Alligator mississippiensis: one gene and its partners. The main gene of each other region encodes a partner of the protein of the gene in region 3 in a complex. Links are inferred from orthologs where the notes say so. Each region holds a gene or a part of one and is shown on either strand. Other genes may lie near its edges. The genes, in order: DONSON, GINS3, MCM2 and GINS2.

Region 1 (7,443 bases), on a different chromosome or scaffold from region 3:
CACTGACACGTTAAGAGACTTTTGGAAGTATGCCTATTCACTATTTTTTAAAGTGTACATTAACGTTTCATAGATTTTATAGACGTTAGGGCTGGAAGGGACCTTGAAGATCATCAAGTCCAGCCCCTGCCCCAGGGGCAGGAAGTCAGCTGGGGTCAAAGGATCCCAGCAAGATAAGCATCCAAGCGTTTCTTGAATGAGTCCAAAGTAGGTGCCTGCACCACTTCTGGAGGGAGTCTATTCCAGGCCTTGGGGGATCAGACAGTAAAGAAATGTTTCCTTATGTCCAGCCTAAAATGGTCTTGGAGGAGTTTATGACCGTTAGTCCTTGCTGTCCTTTGGGGCGCTCTGGTGAACAGAGCCTTAGCTTCTCTTCATAAGGCCTAATCTCTTGCCCTCTGATTATGTGTATGGCTCTCCTCTGGACTCTCTCAAGCTTCTCAACATCCTTCTTGAATTGTTGAGCCCAGAATTGGATGCAGTACTCCAGGTGCAGCCCCACCAAGGCTGAGTACAGCGGGAGGATGACATCCTGAGATTTACTTGAGAAGCAGCTATAGATGCAAGCTAGAGTTTTGTTTGCTTTACCAGCTGCGACATCGCATTGGTGGCTCATGTTCATCTTGTGGTCAATCACGACCCCCAAGTCTTTCAGCTGTAGTGCTAGTGAGCATAGCACTGCCAAGCCTATAAGCATGCTGCATTCCCCCCCACTCCCTGGTGGAGTACCTTGCATTTATCGGTATTGAATGTCATCAGGTTTGTATCTCCTCACTTACTAAGCTTTTCCAAGTCGGCCTGGATCACCAGCTGTCCTCAAGTACGGATGCTATGCACCGAAGTTTAGTGTCACTGGCAAACTTGGCCAGAGCACTTCTGACACCATTGTCAACATTGTTGATAAAGATGTTAAAGAAAACCAGTCCAAGGACAGAGCCTTGGGGGACACCACTGGTCATGGAGCACCATAATTCACTACCATCGACCACTACTCTCTGGGTCCAACCTGGGAGCCAATTCCCCAGCCATCGGACTGTGATGTAGCCAAGGCCGCAGTTGGCCAATTTTTCCATGGGGAGATCATGTGACACCAGATCAAAGGCTTTTTTAAAGCCCAGATATATGATGTCAATCTCTTTTCCCTTGTCCAGGTGATATATGGTCACCTGGTCATAGGAGATGAGATTGGTCAGGCAAGACCTACCTGCGACAAACCCATGCTGGTTGTCCCTCAGGATGTTGCCCTCAGCCAGCTTATCAAGAAGGTAATAGGCAAGTAGGAATTCCCATATCAAATCAGACCAGCACCATCTCATTTGGTCATCACTGCTAGCAACTGAATATTACCCAATGCAAGAAATATTTTGCAGGCAGCTATGCGATAGCCTGCTGTCCTGGAGAAAGGTTCTTCCTGATCCCTTAATAGGAGTTGGCTTAAACTTACATTTTCTCAAGCAGCAGCTCTATTAGCCTAAAATCTAATCAGCCTCAAAAAGTCAGTCACACCTGTCTTAACCCTAGTTAGAGTTGGTAAAGGTTGTGTGTGTGTTTTTTTCTTCTCTGCTGCATGAAAGACAAATAACAACAGGGGGAGTGAGTGATTAGTTAGTAGAGAATGAAACCAACAATACAGAACAGCATAAGAGCCACAAGGTGGGTAAACTATAAAGAACCTCTTCTGTTCCAATACAACAGCAAGCCTGTTTTTAGTGGATGACAACCTGACCCTGAGCTTCAAAGGCAGTTTAAGATCAATTCTGAGAATGTTTATGCTCTAATAAAATCGACCCAACATTGAAACCAAAGCCAAAAACATTAAAAATGAAGTTCTTATGAGCACGATGGAATATTAAACACACCCAAAGGCAATAATTAAGGATTCATACTTTTGTTAATGTGGGAAAATCTACTTCAGAATACTCTTCTTCCAAGGTGGATTTAGTTTCTTGAAGAGGATCCAAGAGCTAAAATAGAAGAAAAAAAACCTGTTACTTTTAAAAAAGGACTGAACTGAACTGAGTTTCATTTCAAGGCTGACTTTTAAGTGAAACTTCAAGAAAAATGTTTAGAGCTACCTACCATCAGCAGCGCACCCTAGAACATTTCACCCTCTGGTAGCATTAACAAGACATTTTCTACATACCCATGCACTGAAGTTTAGAGGCTTTTTCAGCATTTGCCAGAAAAGTGGAAAATTTGAACTCCGAAAGCCTCTTTCTTCAACCTATTCAGTTGGTCTAATAAAAGATATCACATCTACTCAAAGAAACTCGCCTATATCTACCTGGGAGAACTTCCATTTTTTTTTCCCGATGCCAGAAGAAGGGCTCGTGTGCCCAAAAGCTTGCAATTAACAATTTGTTTTCCTTTTTGCAAAAAATGTAGCTGGCCCAGTACAAGATGATCACCTCCACCACGAGTGCTGACTCCTGAGCACGAGGCTTACAAAGGAGAGGCAGCCTGGAGGCATGCCGCCCCCAACACGCACACGGGGTGGGCAGAGGCTTGGAGCCCCGGGGAGAGCCGGGCAGACTGAGGCAGCAGAGCAGAGGGGCCCAGTGCCTGCGTGTGCTGGACTCACACCTGGTTGGTCTAATAAAAGATATCAAATTCACGCAAGGAACCTTGTCTGCCTACGTCCTTAGACCAACACGGCTACAACTTACACCCCAGGTCTCGCACCCGCACGCAGACCGACACCGCCGGTACCTGCCACAGCGGGTGCGGGGTGCTGGCGCCGGGGGGCGGCCGCCGCGGGGCCGGGGCCGGGCGGGGCGCGTTGTCCAGGCTGGAGAAGGGGTTGCGCCGGCCGGGGAAGGGGCGCGGGCCGGGCTCCCTGGCGGGGCTGCGGGCGGCGGCAGCCCCAGGCGCGGCGACCTCGCTCCTCCGCAGCCTCTTCCGCTTCAGCCGCAGCATCTCCGGCGGCTTTTTGAAGCCGGGCGAGTAGCCGGGCACCGCGGCACACATTGCAGCGCGAGCCGGGACCGCCTGTGGGCAGCGCCCTGCAGATCTGGCGCGCAAACCGGCCGGCCCCGCCCAGCCCTCCCGCCTGCCGGGGCTGCGCGCACAGCGGAGGCGGGCGGCCTGTGCCTCCGCACCCGGCACAGCAGCCGGGACACTGGCTTGCGCGTCGGGCCCCACCGGCCTCAACTCCTGCGACCCCCACCCCGCTCGTCCCGTGCCCACACATCTCCTCAGTCGACTTAAAATGGCGACTTCACCAAAAACCCGGGAGCTTAACTACGGAGCACTAGGTCTACACACCTCTGGAAGGCGGATTTAGACCGGGCATCAGGAGAACCTGCTTCACAGCCCGTGTCCAGGGACAGACTCCCCCCAGAGGTGGGGCAAGCGCTGTCTCCGGCCTCATTCAAAAGGCGGCTGGCTGTTTATCCTGCTGGGATCGTTTGACCCCAGCAGACTTCAAAAGGCCTGGCCCCCATGATTTCGGGAGGTCCTTTTCAGCCCCTAATGTCTATGAGATGTATGAAATTCACTTAAGTCAGGCTGCAACGCGCACACGTACAGCTCCCTGAGGTTGTGGCAGCCATACTGTGAGCTAAGTCGCTTACCTAATACAGCAAGTAACAGTGAATGCTGTAGGGGCACACATGGACACACACCCCCTTTGGAGATATATTATCTGGTGCCACATTTAAGTCAACTCTGCTGCACATAGGTGTGTACGCTCTGACAGTTAAGTCAACTTTAAAAAGTCGCTTTGCTGTCAGAAAGTCAGTTTGTGTGTATGCACTAATGCCCAGGCACTTCATGCAGGGCAACGGCTGGGCCCTCTGTGAGGGCTGGAGGTCTCCCAGTCTAAGGTTTCAGCCTGAAAGGCTGGATCACCAGGGTTACTGACTCCAGGATTGCCCTAGAGTCCCCAGGAATTAGAGATAAATCTCCAAGAGACTGCTGAGAGTCACCCCACAGATAGACAATAGTCGTTAAATACTCAGTGTTGAATCCAATTTATACAGGAGCCCAATGAGTTTTTAAAATGTAATAGTAATGTGCGTTTGCCTTCCTGACCTAAAGTCTGCACTGTAATGTCATTATATCATGTGATGAAACATCCCAGAATAGAGTCAAACAGGGTTGGCAACCCTCCGGGGCACATGTGCACTAGAGAAGGGCAACCAGGATGTGCAGTGGGACAGAGGGGCTCCCACATGAGCTGAAACTGAACCAGTTAGTTTAGAAAGACACTTGAAGGTGGGACATGAGAACAGTTAACAAAATACTAATGGGGGAAGAGAGTACACGGGGATTTATGATCCGCTCTTTCCCCCCAGACAACAACTAGGAGTCCCAACATGAAACCAGTAGGCAGTCAGTTTAAAACTTAACAGAAAGAAGTTTTTTTTCCCCCCACAGAGTATATCATTCAAGTGTGGAGCTCTGTGCCACCAGCTGTGCTGGAAGCCTGCAGTTTAGCCAGATTCAAACAGGGCTTGGACCAATGGCTGAAGGAAAGGGGCATGGGCTGCTACTGAGCATGGGAGTGAGGGGTTCAGCCTCTGAATCAGAGCTTCTAGACCTTAAATGCTAGAGGCTGCAAGTGAGAGGAACCATGGGGAAAAAAACCCTGTTCCTACCATCCAGTAAATGGCAACTCTTATGGTCTTAAGCAAGAAACTTCTTTATACCATAAAAGCCAGTGAACAGCCTGAGCTTGAAAAGTGATGGTACAGCCACAACTGTGCCAGAGACAAGTATGTCTTAGGGTGAGATCCTTTAGTGGACCAACTCTGTACCTGGGATAACAGGCATGTTTTTGAATGCAAAGCACTTTTCCTCATGTCTCATTGGGAAGCTTGTCTAATATTCTCCCAAGTACAAGCTTTCCATTGAGACCTGAGGAAGAATGCCTGGCATTCAAAAGCTTGTCCAGTTGTTATCCCAGCTATAGCATTGGTCCAATAAAAGATCTCACCCTAAGAAATCCTTGCCTCCTCTATTCCACCCAAAAAGAGCTGCAAACCTGGATTCTGCCACGCAAGCTGGGATCTTGGGGGATTTTAGCTATGCCTGCCCCCTGGTACATACACCCAGAGATGCACCTCATACTTCCCCCACGTTTATACCTGAGCCACTCAGCATATAGCACAGCCAGATTTGCACCTCCTTTACTCATTAGTTTTCCTCTAAAAACTAATCAGCAAAGGGGGTCATTTCAAATTATTTTTCTTGAAAAGTATTTCCCTTTATAATCTGGAATTTTAAACTAGCAATAATTTCTATGTACAGTGATACTTTTCTACCAGAAGGGAGTGCTCTAGGACCGGTGTTCAGACCCTGGGAGAAAAAGGTCCCTAAGTGTGCGCCATGGAATCCTCTTCTTCAGAACAGCACAGGCAACTTTTGTAAGTAATGTCAAACATGTCATTTTTTTACAAACTCATTCGAGAGAGTCTAAGAAATGCTCAAAACAGGATGGGAAAAAAAAAGACTAGAGGGCACAATGAAGGTCTTCAGAAGGAAAATTCCAGCCAGACAGAACAGCAGGAAAGTAGCAGTTGCCAAAAATAGCTCACAAAGGTGAGAAGGACCACTAAGGCTGTTCCTATGGGTATCATTAAATGCAAAACAATCTGAGAAGTAAATAACGCTCCACTCAGCTAATATCTAGATCAGTGGTTCTCAACGTTTTTTATGCCAGGACCCATCTGCAAACATTAAAGGCCAGTGCTGACCCAGTGACCCTCACTCCTGATCCCCTGGCCCCAGCCCCACAGTGTGAGGCAGGGGGAAGGTATGGGAGTCATGGGGGTCCCCAAGCAGCCCCTTGCAAGTTGGAACTCTGACAGCCCGCAAGGGAAAAGCCAGAGTTTCCCACATTTTCTCTATTTTTAAAGTTTGTTCACGACCCTTTTATATGTTCTCATGACCCACAGGTTAAGAAACACTGATCTAGAATATACTAGTATCTATATGTTCATGTATGTAAGAAGACAAAGTTCATACCCTCTAATTTTAATATCCTACATAATTTTTTTGGTACGTGAGGTTTTCCCTCTACCTTTGACTACATACAAGGGAATGTTTCCAATTGACAGCTCACTCATGGCTGAGAAAAAAATGGGTATGAGTAGTAGAGAAAACAATTATTTGAAGAGTTATCAAAGTCATTAATTATAATCTATTTATACATTAGCCTTCCAGATTTATTAAAGTGGCACATGCTAAAGGGAGCAGAAGTTTCATGTGAAGAAGACAGAGAAGTGCCCTTTCACACCCAAGTCTTTTTTTACAATATTACATTTCTCTTAATTACTCTAGGACAAGCAGCTACTCCACTCTAGTAGGAATGGCAGAAGTGTTGTATTGACAAGAAGTAGTCATTAACCATGAGACAGCTCAAATTATTTTTATGTCTCTCTGGATAATTCCACGAGGCCAAGCATATGGATTTCCTATCTAAAGTTACTAGAGGGATATGCAAGAATAGCTATAAGACCTTGCTAACAGTCTGAGAGCAGAAAGCAATCAAAACAGTCTCCTCAGGAAATAAATGTTTGGAGGCCTAATCAAGGCCTCTTGCAATGGGTTTTGAGTTCATACCTGGCAATGTTACTGACATAAGAAGCTCAGAATAGGCTGAGGAATCCAAGCAGGACCCTTCAACTTCCTCTAGAGGCAGATACTCCCTGAAGGCAAGATTAGACACCAAGGTGGTAAAGCACTTTAAGAGTTGCACCTTAATGGTGCCTATACACTGGCAGGGAGGCTGCTCTGACAGGCTGTAAGTCTAGTGCATTGGAGCGTGGCAATTACTGTGCTCCAGCAGCATCCTGCGTCTCATGTGTGTCCCCACATTTCCAAATGGTGGCAGAGGTATTTTATCTAAAGCTCATTGAACAGAGACGCTGATGCATGAGATGTTCCAGGCACTTTAGAGCCTGCCACTTATTACTGAGACTCTTGCTCATGCATACGCACCCTTAAGCTGCAACTCTACCTTATCTTCAGTGTGGCTTTATGCCAAGATTAAAAAAAAAAAAAAAAAAAAGGGATCTTAAATTAGTCCCTTTACTTCCAAAGGGCTTTGCCACCTTGATTTCTAATCTTGCCTTCAGGGAATATCTGCCTGTATAGAAAGTTGAAGGATCCTGCTTGGATTCCTCACCCTGTTTTGAGACTTTTATGTCAGTAAGATTGCTTTAATTAAAGCACCTCCCACCCCACTCCTGGAGCATGTGTATAAATACCCTAGCAGTAAATTAGGTATGCCTAAACTTTCATGAAAAACATCCTACTTAAGACCATACTAACAACTTCAGACTAATTTAAAAATGTAAACAGGAGTTTATAAAACTCAACAGATAAAATAAATTAGATTAATTTCTTAACTAATTCAGCTGAAAAAGAAACCAAGAGATGGTTAGGTTAGGGGTATTCCACCTGTAGCTTATTGAATACATGTTTCCTGCAACTGTTGTT
Region 2 (7,236 bases), on a different chromosome or scaffold from region 3:
CAGTGAGGTCTTGATTGCATATTTATTAAACAATGTGGTTTGGAAGGCAAGGGTGATTGATTGTATATGCTTTTAAGTCCTGGAATTCATGGTCACGACTCACTCATAGCAGTTCAGAGCAAGTCCCAGTACAATACCTCACCCATCTTGGGAGGGAAAACTGCATGAAAGGAGACCTCTGTTTTAGCATCTGATTTCCTTACAATGATCACAAAAGCACACCTTTCAGAGCAATCCCACAATTAGTGCAAGGAGGTTCTCTGGGGTAATATGATTCCTTTATCTTTGTATTTGCCCTGTATCTGTTTCTCTGGGTCATCTTGTCTCACTTCTGTATCACTCACATCAGGCTGAGGCATGTCAGGATTGATCAAAATATTAATTTTCTTTTTTCTCTTTACAGCCATTTTGTATTTGCACCCTATAAAAGAGATTATTTCATTTGTACACACAGCTCCTTTTACAAGCTCTACAAACTTGCATTTTCAGCTCAGAGACTTTGCTCTTAACATTTGATTCAACAAAATTATCTTTATTATTCCTGTCTTATAAATTGCAGTCGTCATCCAAAACTGCCCTTAAAAAGGTCTCTTGAAAATTGTTATTCTTTTGCAAAATAGAAACGGATGGAGATACCTTTTTTCCCAGAAAAATCTCTCTCCCTTATCCAAAACAAACAAAAAAGACCCAAAATGATGTTTAAGATTTCTAACTGAGAAGGTCAATAACATAACATGAGAAGGTCAATTTCTGTCTTTCTTCTGAGCAAGAATTTAAGGTTTTATCCATTGTACAGGAATATTGATTCCTGTACAATGGATAAAACCTTAAATTCTTGCTCAGAAGAAAGACAGAAATTGACCTTCTCATGTTATGTGAATTTTTTTTCAGATTCATGTTTCCGTCCTTCAGTTGCACACTGCACTGTTGGAAAGATTTAATGTACCTGATTAATGGGAAAAAGGGACTTTCTAAAAACAGCAGTGTGGGTGTTATATTTGCATATACATATATTTCTCCTCCTTGGTCTCTGTCCTTTCTTACTCAGCTACCTAACAAATCAAGTTAATCTGGATTCTTATCTTTTTAGCATGCTGAAGTTCATAAAATGTGTTATTCTTTCACCTAGGTATGAGTTTTATACAGTGACTATCACAGTGGTATCTAAGTAATGACTATATAAACCAAATATATATTCTTATACCACACCTTAATCCCACGTTATGTACTTAAAAGAAAAATGTTTAATGAGATATTATTTGCATAAAATAAATAGTTCAAGATTTAACAAACTGTTCCAAATGTGGTTGTGTTTATAAACAGCTGATTTAAAAAAAATACTAGAACTCCATTGTGGGAATAACACAGAAAAAACAAAATCAGAGCAAACTGAAAACACCTTGAGCAGAAGGCAAGATGAGGAATGTTGTGAACAGGGAACTAAAGAAATAACATTGCCTTGTGATTTAGTCATAAGCTGCAAAATGTCTGCCTTTACATTTTCTCCAGCTGAACAAAATGAATTTTTAAAAGGACTTTAGATTGGATAGCTGAGAAGGTTCAAGCATAGATTTTAAGTTGGTAAATGCAATTGCTGATTTCCCCCCTCATGCAATAATCACACATTCTTGATACAATTACAGAGTGCTGTACAGATTTCTGTTATTATGTTTCCATGTAAGACCAAGAGGTCTACAGAAGTTCAAACTTTTGCACAAAAAAGGGAGAAAATAATATGTTCAAACCTCTAACTACAATGTTCTCCATATTGTTTTTCTGCTTAAACTAGTTTCAGACTGTCTTGGGCTCTCACTCTTAGACTCTGGTGACTAAAGTAAAGGTCGGGTGGAATTTTCAAGAGTACTTACAGGTTTCCCTCACCAACCGCTGGGGTTAGGTTCCTGAAAGTTCCTGTGGTTTGCAAGTGTGGCTGGCAAGACAAAAGGCTTATGGGGAAAATGCCAGGTGGCAGGCTGATGTGCGGCCATGGAAAACCATGGTTACTCAAAACTGGCTACTATGGTAGCCAAAATAGTATATAGAATATTAAGCGTGGGTAGTCAAAACCATGGTTGGTAAAACCGTGGTTGGCAAGGGAAACCTGTATGTGAATTATGTCCCAAGTTGAAATGACAGCTGTTTATCGACACTTTTCAAAACTCAACCCCCTACCTGTGTAATCTTGAACCACCTGCCAGTATGTCTTTGACTGGAAGCAAAAGAAGCAAGTTTTCAGTCTTCTGGTTAAGATTATCCCTTTTTTTTTTTTAATCATAAAAAATAGTGGGAATGATCCAAGCACCATTTCTGTTGGGCTTTCCCAAAACCACCAGTTTCTTTCAGTCTTACTCAACACTTTTTATGACCAGAGATTGTAAAACATAGCTAAACCATGACACAAGGGAAATAAAACTTTACCAGAAGTTTTGAAAAGCTGTTGTTTTATAGGTTCTTGTGCTTAGAAACAGTGTGGGGTTTATTTTTATTTTCAGCATACACAGTTCGAGGGAGAGTGAACAGGATTTAATTAAATAAATAACAAATGAATTCCCAAACAGGGAAACAAAATTGAAAACATTTTAATATTTACGATCAAGCTACAAAAGGACACTAAATGTCAGTCTATTCCTGGTTACACAGGTAAAATTGCAAGTAATTTCACTATAAACCTTATCAGAAGGGGGGGAGGCAACATGCACCCTGGCAGAGCAGCCTCCCTGGATGTGTGCAAGTGCCCCATGTGCTGAAGGACACAGCAGTTTGGAGCCAGGCAGGCTGCCAGGAGAGAGCTCCACAGTCAGGGCTCTTCCCCTAAGCACCCCTTTCAACAAGAGCACACCCGCTGTCTTCAACAGGAGATGGCTGGGAGCCAGCAGGGAGCATAATGTGGAAGGGCCAAGCTCTTGTGCTAACCAGCTCCACCAGGCTCTGACTCAGGCTTCCATGTGGTCTGGCTCTGGGTGAATCTGGACGTGCTGAGGCAAGGCTTCCTCAGGCTGATCATTTGATGGGACCAACTAGTAACTGGGGTGCAGTCAGACAAGGGGCTCTTCCTGAGAGCACTAAGGGTGCATAAGCAAGGCTCTGCCCTTGTCCCAGCTGAGTGATCAGAATTTGTCTAAATCAGTGGTCACCAACCAGTGGATCTCGATCCACCAGTAGATCTCGGAGCCTCTTGGAGTGGATCTGAGGCTAGGGTGGGGGGGGCTAAGTGCCTGCATGCATGTATGTATCCCTGCCCAGCAGGTCAGTCCATGGGGGAGGGAAGAGGTAGGGGCTAGATTAAAGCCCCTGTGGTGAGGAACAGTGCTGCAGAGGCAGGAGTAGGGGTAAGTTGAATGAGTGCCCAGCTGGGTGGGACTTACTTGCTGGGGAGGCACATCCCCAAATAATTTTTTTCTCCCTCGCCTTGATCTGCCCCCCCATTTCCTCCCCACAGACTTACCTGCTGCGGGGAGCAGGAGGGGGTGGCAGCACATGGTAGATCTTGGATTGCTCTTAAATGCCAAAGGTGATCTATTTAAAAAGGTTGGAGACCACTGGTCTAGATCCTGTGAGCTATCCCCAACAGCCGGTGTCTTGGGGCAGACCCGGTAGGGGGTGCCCAGGCCTGGGGCTCAGGGCCTCTTCTTTTCCCACCCCAGGGGCCGCTCGGAGGTTAGGACTGTCTAGTAGGCTGCATGCAGGCATGGGACCAGCAGGGCTCTGGATGACCCTGCACGAGTATGCCTGCGTCATAGTTGTTGCCCGGTGATGTGTGGTCATGACATCACGGCTCCATCACCAGACCCGCTAAGGTCAGTCTGCAGATCGCGACATCAGGTCCCACTGTGCGAGGTCAGCACGGCATCCAGCCAATGACCGTGCAGAGGGAGGGCCGTGGGACGCCACACGCAGGTCCCGGCTCCCTCCGCCCCGCACTCACCGCGGGGGGCGCCGCCGCGCAGGCCCCGCTCCCGCCGCCAACGCCTGCGGGCAGTTACCGGCCGCCCACGCGCACCCCTCCCCCGCGTCTCGTGGTTTCTCTGCTGCCGCCAAGCCTACGTCACAGCGTGCGAGGCCGAGCGCGCCCCCTGGGGGCGGGGCGCGGCGCAGGCGTAGTAAGCGCGACGCTCGGCCGCCGCCGCGGGGCCTTCTCGCCTTCAGCACCAGCACTGCTGGACGGCGCCGCGGCCGGAGATCGAGCCTGTCCGCTCGGCCATCGATTGTTTCGGCCTGGCGACTGCCAGCCCACTAAAAGCGGGCGGCAGTTGCACATGCGCACTGGCGCGCTCGGGCCGCGGCTGCTGCTTGGCGGGCGCCGCGCGGAAGCCGGTGTGGGTTGGTGACTGGAGGGCCCACCATGTCGGAGGCGTATTTCCCGGTGGGGCCCGGATTGGGCCCCGAGGAGAACTTCTTGTCTCTGGACGACATCCTCATGTCCCAGGAGAAGCTGCCGAGCCGCGCCGAGGCCGCACTGCCCCGATTGGCCGCCGTGCTGGGCAAGGGCGCGGGCGCCGGCCAGGGCGACTGCCTCCCTGAGGTAACCCCACGGGACTACAGCTCCCGGCAGTCTCGGTGGCGCGAGGCATGCTGGGAGTGTGGGCCGATGCTCGGCGGGGCATGCCGGGAGCTGTACTCTCCTTTGGCGGGAGAACGGAGTGGTGCGCTGCCCCTCCCCCCCACGTAGTGTCACCCGGGGCCGGGGCCGGGGCCGGGGCCGGGGCGTTAGGGAGCGGGAGCCGCAGGCTGCGCGGCCTGAGCCCAGTGTGCGTTCGTCTACACATACATGCTGCTGTTTCCGTGACTCGGTTCTTTGGCTTTCCCCGACTTTTAAGCACCAGTGTTTGCAGCCCCCTTTTGTAGAATTCTTTACTTATGACTTTGTTTCGCTCACGCCACAGTGTGTTTTGTGCCACCTGATTTGATTCTTACTGTTATCAAAAAAAAAAAAAAATTGTGGTTAGAGCCCAAAATAAAAATCCTGATTCTACAGGCACCTGGTAGCTTGCCTGTGAAAGTCATTCATTGTGAACCTTCAGTAGGTGTCTGAGTCTTGTTTTTATTCATCATCCTGATCAGAATTGACTCCTGACTTTGTGGGGATGCCCTTTCTGTCCTGTGCATGCAGGGCTCCAAGCTGGAAATCCCCCTGTGGCTGGCGAAAGGGCTATATGACCACAAGCGGAGGATACTTTCTGTGGAGTTGCCAAAGACCTACAAGGAAGGCTGGAGGACAGTGTTCAGTGCAGATGCCAATGTGGTCGACCTGCATAAAATGGGGCCGTACTACTATGGATTTGGCTTCCAGCTCTTGAATTTTGACAATCCAGAGAATCCAGAGATAGCTCAGACCATACTGCAGGCAAGTATTTGAACCAAGTGAAATCAATCACTGAGATACTACCCTTTTCCTTGACATCTCTTCTATCCTTCCATCCACTTTGTCATAGTTGGGGATATATATATCCTTTTCTACTCAATTTGATGTGGGCTAGAAGGACTTCAAGACCTGGCCCTTTCATCTACAATGAGTATGTATCATTTTTTTGATTAAATGAATTGAAGCCTCATGTCTGCATTCACAGCTAAATTTGGTTAAATGAGTTTTGAGCAAGGAATGACCAGGTGCTTTGTTGCTTGTCTTTTAATAACAGAAAAAACAAAACATTTAACATTCTGTTCTACCGTTGTAAGGCCACAGCAATAGGAGAGCCTGTCTTGGATAGCCTGACACTAAGAAACTAATAGTCAAGAAAGTATAGTTAAAATGAGTGAATAAAAACATAAAGATCTTGTTGAGATTTTGACATTCTCTGTTTAGCATTTGTAAAGAACCAAAATACCAAAGTAAACCATGTAAAAAATAAGTGTACTAGTAATAATAAAACCTTGTCATATTTTTTTTAAAAGCTTTGTTTCCCCAATATCCTTAAGCACACTTTCCAAAGTTGTCAGGAACTTTAACTCTTCCCTTTTTGAATCTGGTTATATTTAGCTTTTATTTAAAAAAGGTTTTCCCCCTTGCTACAAAGGAATAAGTCCCTATTGCTTACCATTTTAAATTTGTTGTTATGTTCTCTGGGTGTTGTTTAGGTTTCCTAATTGTTTTATCGGTGCCCAAAGTGCTTTGAAGGCAGAGGGAGGTCAGCGTTTGAGAAATTCATTTAACTGTAGTGATGCTGCCTTTATAAAAGGGAGCTCATTTTTAGGGGGAAAAAAATCTAAATTGCTTTATGGTAGCATGATCTGTAACTAGCTACAGACTTATCTCACCTGCTCTAAAATCAATGGCTTCATACACAGGGACTGAAACAAAATTCATTGTATTGTGTTTTGTAGAAGGTCAGGACTAACCAGTAAAAGGCAATAGTGACACCTGACCAATTTAATTCCTTGAAAGTAGAGTGCAGTGGGCATACATATACAACACATGGTCTGGAAAGCATGTAACCTTTCCCCACCCCTATCTTAGGAAAATAAAGCTTATCTTTGAGTAGGAGGTTAATGGAAGCTGAGTACCAACAGTTAGATGCTAGTCCAGAACCAACTGTTGGCTGCTCAAATATAGACACCATAGGGTGCAAAACCCTGAACCTGTTAGCCCCAGAGCATAAGTCTAGCATTTGACCTCAAGGAGACTCTTCCCTGAGTCACTGACAATTCTTTATCTTCCTTAGACATTTATTAACCGTTTTCGCCGCATCATGGACTCCTCCCAAAATACCTACAACGAAGACACCTCTACATTAGTGGCACGGCTGGATGAGCTGGAACGAGCCTTATTTCAAGCTGGCCAGAAAGGGCTGAATGACTTCCAGTGCTGGGAGAAGGGGCAGGCTTCTCAGATCACAGCTTCCAGCCTCGTCCAGAATTATGGGAAGAGAAAATTCACTGACATGGATCACTGAAAGCATGAAGGACACAAAACCAACATAAGGGACACTGCAAGATTTATATTCTGTGTCACTGAAAAGAAAGACCAACTAACCTTGGAAAAGGGACACATTTTCCTTCTCTTTGGGTAACTGAACTTCTGAGCAGCTCTAATCTTCAGATTAAGCCAAAGCACATTGCAGAGGAAGAGGGAAGGTACAGTGACAACAGATTGCATTGCAGAATTGTTTAACAGCACACACACACTTCTCCCAATGATTTATGGTAATTACTTTGGGCTGCATGGCTCAGTGCAGGTGAGAGGCTCTTCTGAAAGAGGGTCGTTAATATTTGCTACTTTTTATCATGTAAATAGAATGT
Region 3 (7,279 bases):
ATTGCCATCTTGAGATTGGAAGCCCCACTCCTAACCCCTGACTTTTGCCACTGGAAGTCCCACTCCTTGCCCCCAGAAGTACTCCTTTTGGGAGGTGGGGGATACCATATTAGAACCAGAAAAAAAATCATATAGTAAAAATCAAACATCTACTATAACAGGGTTACCATACATTTGGGTTTTCTGGACATGTCCTCCTTTTGGATTCTCCCATCTCTGTCTCAATGTTTTTTTAAAATACCAAAAAATGCCCGGGATTTTACTCTGCTCAGGATCAATGTTTTTCCTGGCACTTCCCATCTTGCCCTAGCAAAGAGCTACTTGGGGCTGGAAGGAGCAGGGGAAGGGAGATTGGAGGCAGAGGCATCAAGTGATAGTAGGACCAGCCCTGGCAGCTGCATGCAGGTAAGTCTGTGGGGGCAGGGGTTGGAGGGCCAGGGCTTGGGGACTGTCTGGGGGGTTCTGTGTGTGTGTGTGCACACACGTGTGGCAGAGGTTTGTGGAGGGGATGGGTGTGAGTGGGGTGCCTGCTGGCACCGGGGGAAGCACAGTGTCTGGGCAATGGGGCTGTGGCAGGACAGGGAGAGCAACTGCCCCTCCAGCAGGGGAAGGGGGTCCTCTGGGGACAGCAGGGAGCTGTATGGCCAGGCTGGCGGCACTGGGACTGGTGCCTGTGCTTGCAGGGGTGGGACAGCTGGGAGATGCTGCAGAGCTGGGGGGCCATAGGGCTGCAGATCAAGAGTGAGACACACTGGCAGGGCTGGGGGGCTGTGGCTTGGGAGTGAGGGGAAAGGGCAGGGCACCGGCATATCACTGCCTGCCCTGAACAATCATATTACCTGCCCCCGCTCCCCAACAGGTGTCCTCTTTTTTGAAACTGGAAACATGGAAACCCTAAATATAACATATTTTAATTTTATTACAAAAAATATTTTTCTCCTCATGAATGGGTGTTTGCATAGTGTATATAGAGGTGACTGCATAATAGCTCCAAATAAAGTCTTACTCTTGTATAATCTGTGTGGGAGGGATGTGGTTGGGGGAGTGGGTATTGGGGGTGGGATTTAGAGGGGTGATCTGGAAGCTTCCTATCTTCAGGACAAGGCAACCGAACTTCATCTTCAGCCTCCTCTACAGCTCCTTCAGTCCTTGCCCTCTGCTGGGACTGACTACCAGTTCCTGAAGTCATGGTGGGATTTTTCCAGAGATGCTCACTAGTCTGCTAGGTGTTGAACTGAGCTCACCAAACCCAGCTCACACCAGCCACCAGATAACTCCTAGCTGGTGACAGCGGATCTCAGCTGGATTCTGGCCAGTTGCCCAGGATGACAGGAGACACCCAATTCCTAGTCTCACTTAGGGCAACCAAACACTCCAGCCACGTCAAAACTGACTGCCCAAACCGAGCCACTTAAAGGCCTGTGTGTGTGTGTGTGTGTGTGAATGAGGGGTTTGTGAAAAGGTGTGGATGTGTGTATGGGTGGGTGTGGGGTTTGTGGGGGGCGGCTGTGAAGGTTGTGAGTGTGTTTGTAGGAGGGTCTGTGGGGGGGGTGTGGGGTTTGTGGGGAGATGGGAGGTGTCAGGTTTGTGGGAGGGTGTAGGTCCTCCCCCCGCACTCCTCCCCCCCAGCATACAGCTCCTCCAGGCAGCAGCAACAGCAGCAGGCTCTCAGGGCACTCATGGCCCATGGCAAGCAGAGCCCCCTGGCAGCACGTGGCTCTGGCTGAGTCCCGAGAGCTGCAGGTGGCAGCACAGAACCTGCCTGGCTCGGACCAATGGCACATGCCTTTGTGCCAAAGCAGGCTGGCTCCATGCCAGTACATGGGGCTTCTGGCACTGCAGGCAGGAGCTGCATTATCAGCCTGGACCAGGCCAGCTCTGTGCCTCCATGTGGGGCTTCCAGCACTCCAGTGGGGAGCCACACGTGAAGGCATGGAGCCAGCCTGGCCCAGCTGTGCGTGCTCCCAGCTTCAGTGCCAGGACCCATAGGTGCTGGCACAGAGCCAGCCGGCTGGCCCAATGGCACACTGCTCCTGGGAGGAGAGCTGGGAGCCACATGTGGAAGCACAGAGCCTACCCAGCCCTATGGTGCGAGGACTAAGAGCTGTGGGGAGTTTGTGGGGGAGTCCCATGCCATTGGGCTGGCCAGGCTCTGTGCTTCCACGTGCGGCTCCCTACTGGAGTCCTGGAAGCCCCACGTGGAGGCATGAAACTGGCCAAGATCATCTGATGGCGCATAGCTCCCACCTGCAGTGCTGGAAGCCCCATGTGCTGGCACAGAGCCAGCCTGGTCTGGCTTGAAGGCCCCTACCAGTGGACCGGCTCAGTGCCAGGGGCTCAGAGCACCTGCCATGGGCCATGAGTGCTCCGAGGGCCTGCTGCCCACTGCTATCAAAATTGGTGGGAGCTGTGCACCATGATGGGGAAGGGGGAAGGCATGTGAGGGAGACCCATGCCTCCCCCGCTCCCCTTCCTACTCAAGAGCTGCCCAGTCACACACCATCATGTTCAGTGCCTCCACATGGGGCTCCCAGCTGGAGTGCTGGGAGCCCCACGGAGGTGGAGGCACAGAACCCACTTCTGAAAGCTCGCATCTCCCTCTGGCTTTCAGAGGGGCAGCTGCGGGCTGGTAATAATTGTTTTTTGGAGGGGTCCCGCAAGCCAGATAGAATGGCCTGTTGGGCTGGAGCCAGCCCGCAGGCAAAATACAGCCTACTAAACGGTCAACTTCCACAGCATCTGGTGGCAATGAGGTCCAAACTTAAATTACATGCGGGGTGAAAAACAACTTCCTTGTGTTAGTATTAAATTTACTACCAATTAGTTTTTATATTATAACCCTAGTTCTTATTTTAAGAGAGAGAGTAAACAATACATCCTGTTCACTTTCTCTTCACCATTCAGCATTTTGTAAACCCATCTCATGTCTCCCCTGGCAGCGTGGAGGAACCACAGGGCAACCCAGGCGCAAGAAGGGTCCAGCAACAGCGAAGGGGAGGTAGCCACTTTTCCCCTGCACCAAGCGGCAGCTTCTGTCCAGCTGCCACCGCTACTGCTACTGCTACTGCCGCTGCACAGTGTGGGCAGGCGAGTCCAGAGCAGGCGCAAGGTGGGCCAGGGTCGGGGCTGCGCACGCGGGTCCCCACTGGTACCATGGGGCTGGGGCCAGCGGTGGCAGCAGCCAGAAGGAGCCACTGCTGCATGGGCTGCCTAGGAAGGCTGGAGCCACCCCAGTCCTACTGCATGCCCAAAGGACGCCACAGGCCGGATGGCACCTGGGCCAGGCAGGACTGAGGGACTCACCATGCTCTGGACAAAGTCCCTCCGCGGGCCAAATCTGGCCCATGCGGTGTATTTTGCCCATCCCTGGCCTAGCCTCTCTAATCAATGCAGGGATAAGTGATGTCCTGTCTCCCTAAACACCTTCTGCAAATTTTTACTGGATAAAGGACTCTACTTCCTGCCCTAAACTACATTCCCGTGCTGAACGGCTATGGAGGCTCCCGTCTCCTGACAGACATGGCCGAAGGGCAGGGCTGCCCCAGAGAGCCGTGAATGGGAACTCCCCGCTACACGCAGACTCGTACCCACCCATCCAGGGTTTGTTCTGCTGTGCGGCTCCAGTCCGTGAACTAAACCCAATGGAGGGAAGCCGAACCAATTTGATCCAGGGAAAGACTGTCTTCACGCAGACCCGCACCAGGATCTCCACGTCACAGAGGTTCGACGGTCTGGGATGTATCAGCTCCAAGGATGAGAAGGCCCTTGGCAGGGTCGGACAGGGGGTGCACAGGGCGCGGGGCTGAGCCCTGCTGCATGTGGGCGGAGAGAAAAGCAATCCCAGGAGATCTGTCAGCTGGTGGCTGCAATGCCCGAGCAAAAGGTGTCCCGGGCAGCCAGGCCACGTAGGATGCGAAGCCCTGAGGGAAGAGGGTGGGCGGCAGGATGGAGAAACAGGGCATGAGCAATAAGGTGCAATCAGATCCGGAGCGGGTGCATTGGTGCAGCTGCACCTCCCCCCATTTCGGACTGTTTGCAACCCAGGGGCTTCTGGGGACTTTTTTATCATTCCCCAAAACACAAAAGAAACCTAGTAGCACGAGCTCTTCCCCTGCTGCTGCTGCTGTCCCCGGGGCAAGAGAGGCGCTCCAAAGCCGTGGACAGGAACAGTCCTATCCCGGGATAAGGGCGGGGCAGCGCTCAGCGGAGCTCGCCGCGCAGGCGCGACAGGGGGCGGCGCTCATGCATATGCATCGGGGTCGTTAATTATGCATGAGGTTTCGCGCGCTTTTGCTGCCCACGTGGTGCTCGTTTCCCGCGGAATCCGGCAGGGCAAGGAGGCTCCGGGCAGCGGCGGGGATGGCGGTGAGCAGCGGCCGGAGCCTGCCCTGCCCTGGGGTTGGGGTTGGGGGTTGAAAGCGGGGCTGGCACTGGGAGTGGATTGGGGCTCGGGCTCCTGTGCTCTGGTCCTTGCGGTGGGATCCGGATCGGGGGCCGGGGTCCCGGTGCCCAGAAGGCAGCGCTGGGGAGTGGAGCCCCTGCCCGCCCGCCCCGCACCCGCCCGGGCCCTGCGTGGGGCAGAGACGGCCTATAAGGGGCTTTGGAGTCTGCCTCTCTGGGGCTTTGCATGGGGGGGTCTCCATGGGGAAATAGGGATGTCCCCCCCCCCAACTGGGTCCCCTGGCTCTGTGGGGTGGGTGACACGTGAGCACACGCATGTGCACACCCACACGCTGGTCTGCCCGTAGGGGTGAGTGCGCTGGTGCCCCCTCCCTGCTCGGGGAGCTCTCCCGTCCCCTGTGGGGGTGCTGATCCAGGTGACACTGCCTCCCCGAGCAGCCCTGGCCCCTTCCTCCACTGGCCTCTGACCCGACTCTCTGTCCCCTGCAGGATTCGTCCGAGTCGCAGAACGTGGCCACCAGTCCGGCCCGCAGCTCGCGCCGTGGAGATGCCTTCACGTCCAGCCCCGGCCGGGACCTGCCGCCCTTTGAGGATGAGTCTGAAGGGCTCTTGGGGACCGAGGGGGGCCCTGAAGAGGAGGACGAAGGGGAAGAGCTCATTGGGGACGGGATGGAAAGGTAGGGGAAGCCCAGGGGCAGCCCTCGGTCGTTGATGGCTGCTGTGTGTGAGCAGGGCCTTGGCAGGGCAGGTTATTGCTTATCTCTAAGGCATTGAGTCGGCTCCTGCCATGGGCCACTGCACGGGTAGTGCCTCTTTGTCCTCTGCCTGGTCCTGCTCTAAGCATCCTTCAGTACCCCCAGCTGTGTTTCTAAAGCACCTGTCATGGGGCATCGGAAATGTGGACTTTGTCTGCTGCACCGGTGCCTAGAGTGGGCATAGCAGAGGGGCCACAAGACAGTGGTGATGGATATAAGTCTTGTGCCATTGTCTGGGATACCGGGGGGGCTGCCTGTGAAGTCGGTGGGTGAAGTTGTGTGGATAAACCTGCAGGTCACTTCCTAGGACTGAGTGTGGTTCAGCTCAGGGTTATTTACTTGCTTGTGTGAGCATAAAGTTCAGATTTTGTTCTGCAAAAACAATCCTTTGGCTACTAGGTTAGAAAAACAAGTACAACCAACTACAGGTCCAGCAGCCAACAGCTGCATACGCTATTCATTCAAGCTTTGTGTGTCGGCTTTAGTGATCGTAGCATCCAGCCTTTGCTTTTATTAACACGGAGCATCTTTTTGTGTAGAATGAGGTTCTGTTCACCAAGAGTTTTTCTGTCTGGACTGAAGTCTCCCTGACACCACCTCTGTTTCCCATAATGTGATAGGGGAAACTCTTCCATGTGGCTAAGTGCATCACTGGTTAAATGAGATCTCTATGTGCCTAGGGACTACCGTGCCATTCCAGAGCTGGATGTCTATGAAGCTGAGGGCCTGGCTTTGGACGACGAGGATGTGGAGGAGCTGACAGCCAGCCAGCGGGAGGCAGCCGAGCGGGCAATGAGGCAGAGGGACCATGACCTGGATCGTGGCCTGGGCCGCATGAGGAGGGGACTGCTTTATGGTAACTCCCATATGTGCTTTTACATCACTGACTGCCTTAGCCTACCCCTCCAGAAGGATCTGGTCTTTTACCCAATGGCCTGGTTGCCATGATGGCCCTAGACCACCTATGGCTTGTAGAGTGTCTAGGTTTTAAGGGAGCAGTGGGCTTACCTGAGCTTCACTAAGTATTGTCTCTTTGCAGCTGGGTATGTTGGGTGCTCCCAGACTAACAGCGCTCTCCTGGCTCATGCAGGTCTGTGGTTGCAGCAGAGTTCAAATGCTGTGGCTTCCAGGCCATGTCAGGACAGGGGCTTGGACCCAGTAAGTGCCGGGCAGACTGCTGAGACTCAGTAGCATAATTATGGCGGGGTGAGCCTGGCATCTGCCAGAGACACCATAGTTTCATAGGTGGCAGGGTCAGAAGGGACCTAAGCAGATCAAGTCCAACCCCCTGCCTTGGGCAGGAAAGGATGCTGGGCTCAAATGACCCCAGCAAGGTGGCTGTCTAGCCTCCTTTTGAAGACCCCAGGGTAGGGGCGAACACCACTTCCCTTGGAAGTTGGTTCCAGCTCCTAGCCACCCTGACAGTGAAGTAGCGCCTCCTGATATCTAGCCTGAATTTGCTTTCAGTCAACTTATGGCCGTTGTTTTTTGTTAACCCCGGCAGTGCTCGGGGGAACAGGGACTCTCCCATTGCCTGCTGGTCTCCCTTGGCCAGTTTATAGACAACCATCAGATCCCCTCTCAGCCTTCTTTTGTAGAGTCTGAACATGTTCAGGTCCCATAGCCTTTCCTCATAGGGTCTGCCCTGCTGCCCCCTAATCATGCAAGTGGCCCTCCTCTGGACCCTCTTGATGCTGTTCATGTCCTTCTTGAAGTGCGGCGCCCAGAACTGGACGCGGTACTCCAATTGGGGCCTGACCAATGTCATATAGAAGGGGAGGATCACCTCCTTGGACCTGCTTGTGTTGCATCTATGCATGCGTGACAAGGTATGGTTAGCCTTCCTGACTGCATCCCCACATTGGCAGCCCATGTTCATCTTGAAATCAATAGTGACACCAAGATCCTTTTCTGCCTCTTCACTGACAAGAAGGGAGTTCCCCAGCCTGTAGGTATGCTGCTGGTTCATCTTCCCCAGGTGCAACACCTTGCACTTGTCCGTATTGAAACCCATCCTGTTCTCATCTGCCCACCTCTGTAACCTGTCCAGATCCAATTACAGCCTGTCCCTCCCTTCTAGCATGTCCACTTCTCCCCACATCTTAGTGTCATCTGCAAACTTG
Region 4 (7,340 bases), on a different chromosome or scaffold from region 3:
CCCGGGGCAGGCTGCTCCAGTGCTTAACAACCCTCTACATTAGAAAGCCCTTCCCAATATCTAACCTAAATCTTCCTCGGTGTAGTTTTAGACAATTTCTTGTCCTAACCCCTGTGACAACCCCTAAAGGAGCCCTGGATAGATGGCAGCCCACTGCGTAACTCTTTGGAGCAAAAAGGCATCACGGGTACCCCAAGGCAGGGGATGTAGAACAGCAGCAGTGTGCCTTTGAGCTGGGGAAAGCCTGCAGGCTGAGGAAGCAGCATTATCAGCAGCCAAGCTGGCTCCTGAATTAAAGGTCAGGATGAATGTGTGACAGAAGGTGCTTATCAGGCACAGACATCTCCAGGCCTACCAGCCTTTGCAGGGCTGCCCCTGCCTACCACCAGTTAACCAGCAGGAACCAGGTTCAGGCTGCAATGGCAGGTTTAAACAGGTTCATGGAGACCCAGGTGGATATGAAGACCTGAACAGCCTCCCTTTCTCCCTTTACACACAGAAGGCTATTTGCACAGGAGGCATGTGAAAGCCGGCTTCAGGGGTGTGGAAGGGAAGTGCAAATCAAGCTGTTGTGGCATTTGAGGCTGGAAATGGACCCGAAACTGAACTTCACCAGTGAACGATGGAGCATTTCAAAGGTAGAGACAGGCTGCTTGCTCTTCCAGCTGTTTCAACCAGCCTGTCTGGCTTTTCTACGTGATGAAGCTGCTGGGCCTGAGAGAGGAGCCCTTCAGAGACTTGTCTGCATTAGGGGTTTTTGTGCTGTCTTTTTCTCTCCCTGCAGAGGGTCGGCCAGGATGCAATGGGTTTAAACTGTAGCAAAGCAGGTTGAGACGAAATTTCAGAGAAAAGTGTCATTACTGTCGGAACATCAGGACAGCGGTGCAAACTGCTGGGGGAGGCTGTAGCATCTCCATCCTTGGAAATTTTCAGGAAGGGGATGGATAAGCATTTAATACGGATGGTTTAGGAAGAGCGCATTGTGCCTCTGTGCTGGGGGCTGGACTGGATGACCCCGGAGGTCCTATTCAATTCGATCAGTCTATTATTTTCCCAGGAGCAGCCACTTTGATGAGCATTTCCAACTGCAGACATCTCTCTTGGTCTATTTCTGGAGGAGCAGAGCAGTTCAGTGCTTTCATTATGGGGTCTAATGAAGGGCAGGGGCTGCTATGAATTCCAATCTTGGTTGCTGCCGTGGAGCGAGCTCGACCTGCTGGCACAAATCTACTGCACTGGTATATAGCAAGGGAGCTGGGAATGCCTTAAGTCCCACTAAAACCTGGTTTTAATAGCCCTCTTCAGCAGAGTGTATTTAGAGCTAGCAGAACCCAGGGCAATGCTTACCCAGCAGATTTCTCGTGTCACGGAGATGACAAGATTTGCTCCTGTAAGACAGCTGTTGTTTTTTTTTTTAAGCTGTCAAGATCAGAGCTGCTCAAAACCTGCGGATCACAGACACTGATGGTTTGCCTGACGCGGCTGCTTTTTGCTTCCGGGGGAATTTGAAGCCCAAGATCTGGAATATAACAGGGGAATTTGCACCTCCCGAGTTATGTTCCAGATTTTGGGCTTCAGACTGAGAAATGTCAAAAACCCAGCTCAGGTGACATGAGGCAGTTCTGGCGCTGAAAGCAGGACTCTTGCACTAGAAATGGTGGCGAGGTGGTAGAAAAACAGCTAGCAAAGGTTTCCAAAACCACATTCATGTCCCGAATTTGTGCTGCCAGCTTCCCCAAATGTAAACACTCACAGTGGTCAGTGTCTCTCCTAAAACTGAGCTCCTGGAGTCATGAGACTGCTCAGTTTCCCTTTGAAACCCATGGGATGTTTTTAACCCTCCTAGTAGTGGATAAAATCTGGACAAATGTGAGGTCTGAAGTCTCAAAAGCTAGAGGGGGAATAACAAGGACTGCAATAAGATATTTGTGAAAAACCTTTTCATTTTCAATTGATGCTCAAGATTTAAAGGGGACCAGGTAAGGATGTTTTCCAAGTGGGTGATCCCACTGACTCCAAGCTAGGCAATAATTGGTGCCTTTGATGTTCACCAGGGATGCAAAGAGGTGAATAGGGGTGGAAATCTAAATTGCCTTCACCCCTCCAGAGGTAGCTACCAGCCCTTCTACTCCTCATGTTATTGCTGTTCTGCCAATATGCAGAGTTGCCCCCCAGAGTCACCCGTCTGGCACTTCTCACAAACACAAAACTCACTTAATTAAAAAAAGAAAGGGTGTGGGATAGGGAAGCCATTTGGGAGCCATAACAGATTAATCAATACAAATCAATCAATAGGAACTATTGGCAGCTGCCGCTGGGAAGACAGCACTTAGATTTGAGGGTTGTTTTTTTTTTATGGACGGGTAAAGTGGAGAGAGAGGAAATCAGATCCAGACATAACAAGGCCTTTGAATGACAGCCGGAAAATAGGATTATTATCATCACCGCAACTTGGGTACTATCATTTTCCTTTTTTATTCATGCAATGCAGAGTGGTTTGAGTCTCAATTCTAGAGGCCCCGATCTGAGCAAGAGAGTGGTTTGGGGCAGGGATGAGATGGCAAGAGGAAAGAAAAGGGCTCCCTGGGAAAGACTTTTTTGGGGGGTGGAGGGGTGACGGGGACTATACGCCGCATTCGGAGCCTTTTTATTTATCCTGTTGCATCGGGGTTGCTGCCCGTGCTGGGACAAGCTGGAGGCAAGGCAAAGAAATAGATGGTGTTTTGAACAGGATCACAAAAACACACCATTAAATAGACCTGTCACTGCTAATATTGTTTGAAGGCTTTCTGTTTCCATGACGACCTGACATCCTAACAGCCTGGCTGACGGCACTCTAAATCACTCCTGGATAAAAGCTTTTATTTTATTCCCCCCCCCCCCGTGCATAACTTTGGACATTAACATCTTCGATGTGTCTTGACGGGTTTTTGTTGCTGTTGTTATGCTTCATCTTAAATCCGTCCCGGTAGCTGAGTGTTTGGGGGTGGCTTGTCTTTTTAATTAACAAGCAACGTCTGGGTCAGAGGTAGAAAAATACCTCTTGCGAACACTTCTGGGCTGTAATGCCTGCACAATGCTCAACAGTGGTTCGGCAGATGGGTTGCTGTTTGTCAAGCTGATCCGTGTCAACGCCTTGTGTCCCCATTTACTCCACACACCTGGCTGTTGTGCCCACCTGTTGCCTATGGGCTTGCACTTGGATGATCAGCTTCGTGCCACGTATTTGGAAGAGGCACAGGCGGCAGGGCCTTGGCCTCTACCAGGGCCGCACACGGGCACGGGCGGACAGAAAGGGGGCCTGAAAACGGTCATTTTAATTATCGTTATTAGCGTTACCTCTGGCGAAGCGGGGTTTGATACTAAAAGTTCGCCCCAGGGCCGCCAGGAGTCTCGGTACGGTGCCTTGACCGCTCGTAATAAATACTACGAATACATTCATGAATTAAAGTCCACCCTCTCTGACCCTAGGCCAGGCCGCTGTGGGAAAAACCAGGGAACAACGTTGCAAAGCTGCGGTTAAACAAACACAAGGCGCGTCTACACGTTCACTAATGCGCAGTAGTTTAGTCCTCGCTTCATGGAGGACAGGCAACCCCCCCCCCCCCCCCCCTTGGTGCTCATCCGCTACAGCGCTCGTTTTAAACGGATACAATTAGCACTCGGCGAGTCTCGTTATAATGCTCAGGTCGTTAAAAACTCTCGCGGTCGCCGTGTCGGATGGTTAAAAAAAATTTGGAGAGTCCCCCCCCACAACCTCCCGCCAGCCGGGGGGGGGGGGGGGGGGGGGGCACCTTTTAGCCACATTTGGGGACACCCTCCAGACAGGATTGGTGTGATATGGCCGTGAGGGCGGAGGCGTGACAGACCCCCCCCCCATAATGAATTGGGCTAACCTAATTAATTGGGTTAATTGCTGGCATGGAGGGGGACTCAAGCCCCCCACCACTCCTCAGGCTGAGGAGATGTGGGGGTGCTTCCCCCCCCGGAGGACTCTCCCCTGAAGTACAAGGTCTATGACACATGGCGGGTGGAGAGGAGGGAAGCACCATGGCAACTCCCGCGCCTTCTCCACACTTCGCCCCGCCCGCGCGCCCAGGGAGAGCGCTGATTGGTCGATGCCTCCTCAGGGAGAGCCGCGATTAGCTGGAAGGCTCCCCGGCCCCGCCCTCAGAAGCCGCGCCTCAGCCAATCCTCGAGCGCAGGAGGGAGCCAACCCGCGGGCACCGCGCGAGACAAGCAGCCAATCGGGGGCGCTTTGGGGTTGGAGTCCAAGGGAGGGGGCGGGGCTTCCCGCGCGGCCAGCCAATAGGAGGGGCTCCCCGGGCGGTTCCGGTTCCGGTACCGGTTCCGCCCGCCCGGCGCCGGGAATGGACCCGGCCGAGGCCGAGTTCCTGGCCGAGAAGGAGCTGGTCACCGTCGTGCCCAACTTCAGCCTGGACCGCATCTACCTCATCGGGGTGCGCCGGGCCCGGGCTTGTGGGAGGGGCCAGACGGGGCGCCAGAAGAGAGGGGGCGGGGAAGTGTGGGCGGGGCCAGGGGAGGGACAGGGCAGATTATGGGGGCGGGGCCAAACTCGCGGGAGGGACCAGAAGAGAGGGGGCGGGGCCAGTCTTGGGGGAGGAAAAGGGGCGGAGTCAGAGGGCGGGGTGGATTAGGGGCGGGGCCAGAGGGAGGCATTTTGGGGGCGGGCCTTGTGAGAGGGGCCAGAGGGGAGGGGTTGAGACAATGAGGGACAGAGGAGGTGGGAGAGGTCAGCTGGGAGGGCGTGGCCAGAGGGGTGGGCGTGGCCAGCAGGGATATTGAGGGGTCCCCCCCCTCCCAGGGGTGCCCTAGCAGGGCCTGGCCCCAAGCAGCCCCTGACCCTGTGGCTCTTGCAGGGAGATCTGGGTCCCTTTAACCCAGGGCTGCCCGTGGAGGTGCCGCTCTGGCTGGCCATTAACCTGAAGCAGAGGCAGAAGTGTCGCCTGATCCCTCCCGCATGGATGGACGTGGGTAAGGAGACCGCCCGCTCCGAGCTGGGAGCTGGTCCGTGGGGACGTCCTGCAACGCTCCTTCCCCTCCTTTAATGGGGAAATCCCTGGAGCGAGTGAAGGGGGCGCAGGGCCAGCCCCATCCTCGCTCCCTGTGCCTTGCTTTGGGAAGATGGGGATGCCACCTGCTTTCCTGAGCACCATCGCTGGCGTGTCGCGGGCTCGGGCGTTAATTGCTCCGTCACCTCCCTGTAGCACCTTCCCCGCGGGCTGCGTCCCGAGGGAAGGGTGCCTGTGGAGCGCGGAGGCGCTCTCATTTACTCGGGATCGTGCGATCCCGCGGGGCATCGGGAATAGAAGCAGCCCTGACACCACGCAGCAATGTTGCTGGGTGGAATAAGGGCCTGAGCTCCCTCCGGTTCAGCCAGCGTGCGGCTGAGAGCAGGGACAGGGACGGTGCCTCGGTGCTGCTCCTCTCGCTGTCCGACCTCCCTCTGCGCTCCCGAGGGCACAGAATTGATGAGCCAAGATCAACTTGGCAGAAAGGTCCCCTTGAGGCCTTCTCCCAGCATGCGGAGCTGACTGCCAGTGCCTCTTGCCCTCGTTTTGGGTTGAAGGGAGTTACTTTCTGCCTGATGAGCTAGGGCTCCCATGGTAAAGCTGCCAAGGGTACCAGGACAGTCTCCCCTCTTGCAGGAGCCGTCTCCACCTGGTCCAAGGGGGCTGCTTCTGCTGGGAGGAGATAAATCCAGAGCTGTGGAGCATCTGGCAAAAGCCTGACTGTCCCCAAATGTGTTTCAGAAAAGCTGGAGGCCATCCGGGATCAGGAGCGCAAGGAGGACACCTTTACCCCGATGCCCAGTCCCTACTACATGGAGCTCACCAAGCTGCTCTTAAACCAGTAAGTCGCTTCCTTGTGGCCAGGTGGAAGTACTTTCTTCCCTGGGGAAATACCCAGGAATATGATGCTGAAAAACTAGTGAGGTTATAGGGGATGGAGTTGCAGACCCACAGGGAAGCGTCCTACGCAGAGCACGTCAGGGTTTTGCTAGAGCACTCGGTTTATCGCAGCCGTTGGATCTGTTCACCCGGTGTCACTGGTTACGAAGTCTGATCAGGGCTCCCGTGCTCTGTCGAGGGGCGGCTGAGTGTACTGACCTTGGGCGGAGAGGCCACACGCTCTGGCTTTGTGCAGACCCTCGATTGCTGCCGGAGGCCCAGCAGCCTAATCCTTCCCAGTCTGCTGCCTTCGTGCTGTCCTTTCCTAGCCCGGTACACGCAGGTCAGGGATATCCCATGCAGGACTCGCGTCCCCTGAAACATTTCCATTGCACACAGTCTGCTGGCCAGTAATTTACTGAGCACAGACTCTTCTCTCCTCAAGCCCCTGCTCACGGTCACTTGAAGCACTAATTGCTTCCTCCTGAGATCTCAGCAGATCCCATCATTGCATTACAATAACCTGTGGCTGTGTTCGTGTGAGCTGCTTGGATCTCTGGAGGTCTGTGGGGCTGTGCCAATGGGTCCAGCTCACTTGGTCCCAAAAGCTGTGGGGTCGGTAATGAGAGCACAGTGCCGACCTCTAGCTCTCATCACAGCCAAGCCATTTAAATTGGCTGTTTCTGTGTGGCTTTGGCCAGGTTATTGTACCTCCTTGGCCTCAGACCAGCTGGGCTCTCACAGAGCAGAAGGACTATGCTGCCAACCAGATGCTGCTGCAGAGTTCAGATTTCCTGGGTAAATAAACGATCCTGAAAAAGCCCCGGCAGCAGCAGCACCAGCTTGGCTTTTAGTGCTGAGTTCCTTTTTTTTTTCATAAAGCAAACTGCTCTGCTTATGCCTCCGAGGTTTGAGAAGCTGCCAACATGACTTATGCCAGTGACTTAATGTATTAGTCCCTTGCAGCCTGTTCTGATCCGCGCTCTCCTCCTCCTCCAGCGCCTCAGACAACATCCCAAGAGCAGATGAAATCCGAACGCTGGTGAAGGATACCTGGGACACGCGCATCGCAAAGCTGCGGCTGTCTGCGGACAGCTTCGTCAGGCAGCAGGAAGCCCATGCCAAGGTACGGGGTGGACCGATAGGCTTGCTAGTCCCTTCCACGGGTGGCCAAGGTGCACTGTGATTGTGCAGGTCTTTGGCCGATCAGAGCCACAGACAGACGTGCCAGGAGTGGCTCTTTCTCCCGCTGCAATAGGAGCATCTGTCAGTCAAGAACTAAAGCCATATGCTTAAGCTTCCGTTTACGGCCAGGCTGCAGCTCCGTTTGCATGATGACAGCGGCACCGTTGTCACGTTCCTCTCTGCTGGGCCTGCCCCTTGGGATGCAGCCAGAGGGCATATGCACCTCTTCATTGTTCAAGCGGC

Evidence for each region.
Region 1: MCM2 (region 3) and DONSON share a complex: the UniProt entries of both Homo sapiens proteins name them as parts of the replisome complex. The link is inferred for Alligator mississippiensis from reciprocal best matches to the Homo sapiens genes MCM2 and DONSON.
Region 2: MCM2 (region 3) and GINS3 share a complex: the UniProt entries of both Homo sapiens proteins name them as parts of the CMG helicase complex. The link is inferred for Alligator mississippiensis from reciprocal best matches to the Homo sapiens genes MCM2 and GINS3.
Region 4: MCM2 (region 3) and GINS2 share a complex: the UniProt entries of both Homo sapiens proteins name them as parts of the CMG helicase complex. The link is inferred for Alligator mississippiensis from reciprocal best matches to the Homo sapiens genes MCM2 and GINS2.

The regions. Positions count from the first base shown.
Region 1 is NC_081824.1:292,312,989-292,320,431, forward strand, and holds the start of DONSON (protein downstream neighbor of Son), read right to left. Parts: upstream 3,014-7,443; 5' UTR 2,968-3,013; coding exon 2,710-2,967; intron 1,965-2,709; coding exon 1,887-1,964; intron 1-1,886. UniProt on the Homo sapiens protein: Replisome component that maintains genome stability by protecting stalled or damaged replication forks.
Region 2 is NC_081833.1:38,890,140-38,897,375, forward strand, and holds the start of GINS3 (DNA replication complex GINS protein PSF3), read left to right. Parts: upstream 1-4,230; 5' UTR 4,231-4,342; coding exon 4,343-4,522; intron 4,523-5,110; coding exon 5,111-5,344; intron 5,345-6,659; coding exon 6,660-6,890; 3' UTR 6,891-7,236. UniProt on the Homo sapiens protein: Required for correct functioning of the GINS complex, a complex that plays an essential role in the initiation of DNA replication, and progression of DNA replication forks.
Region 3 is NC_081835.1:18,792,421-18,799,699, forward strand, and holds the start of MCM2 (DNA replication licensing factor MCM2), read left to right. Parts: upstream 1-4,267; 5' UTR 4,268-4,272; coding exon 4,273-4,365; intron 4,366-4,890; coding exon 4,891-5,078; intron 5,079-5,836; coding exon 5,837-6,012; intron 6,013-7,279. UniProt on the Homo sapiens protein: Acts as a component of the MCM2-7 complex (MCM complex) which is the replicative helicase essential for 'once per cell cycle' DNA replication initiation and elongation in eukaryotic cells.
Region 4 is NC_081833.1:73,711,717-73,719,056, forward strand, and holds the start of GINS2 (DNA replication complex GINS protein PSF2), read left to right. Parts: upstream 1-4,324; 5' UTR 4,325-4,370; coding exon 4,371-4,460; intron 4,461-4,880; coding exon 4,881-4,995; intron 4,996-5,774; coding exon 5,775-5,874; intron 5,875-6,911; coding exon 6,912-7,038; intron 7,039-7,340. UniProt on the Homo sapiens protein: Required for correct functioning of the GINS complex, a complex that plays an essential role in the initiation of DNA replication, and progression of DNA replication forks.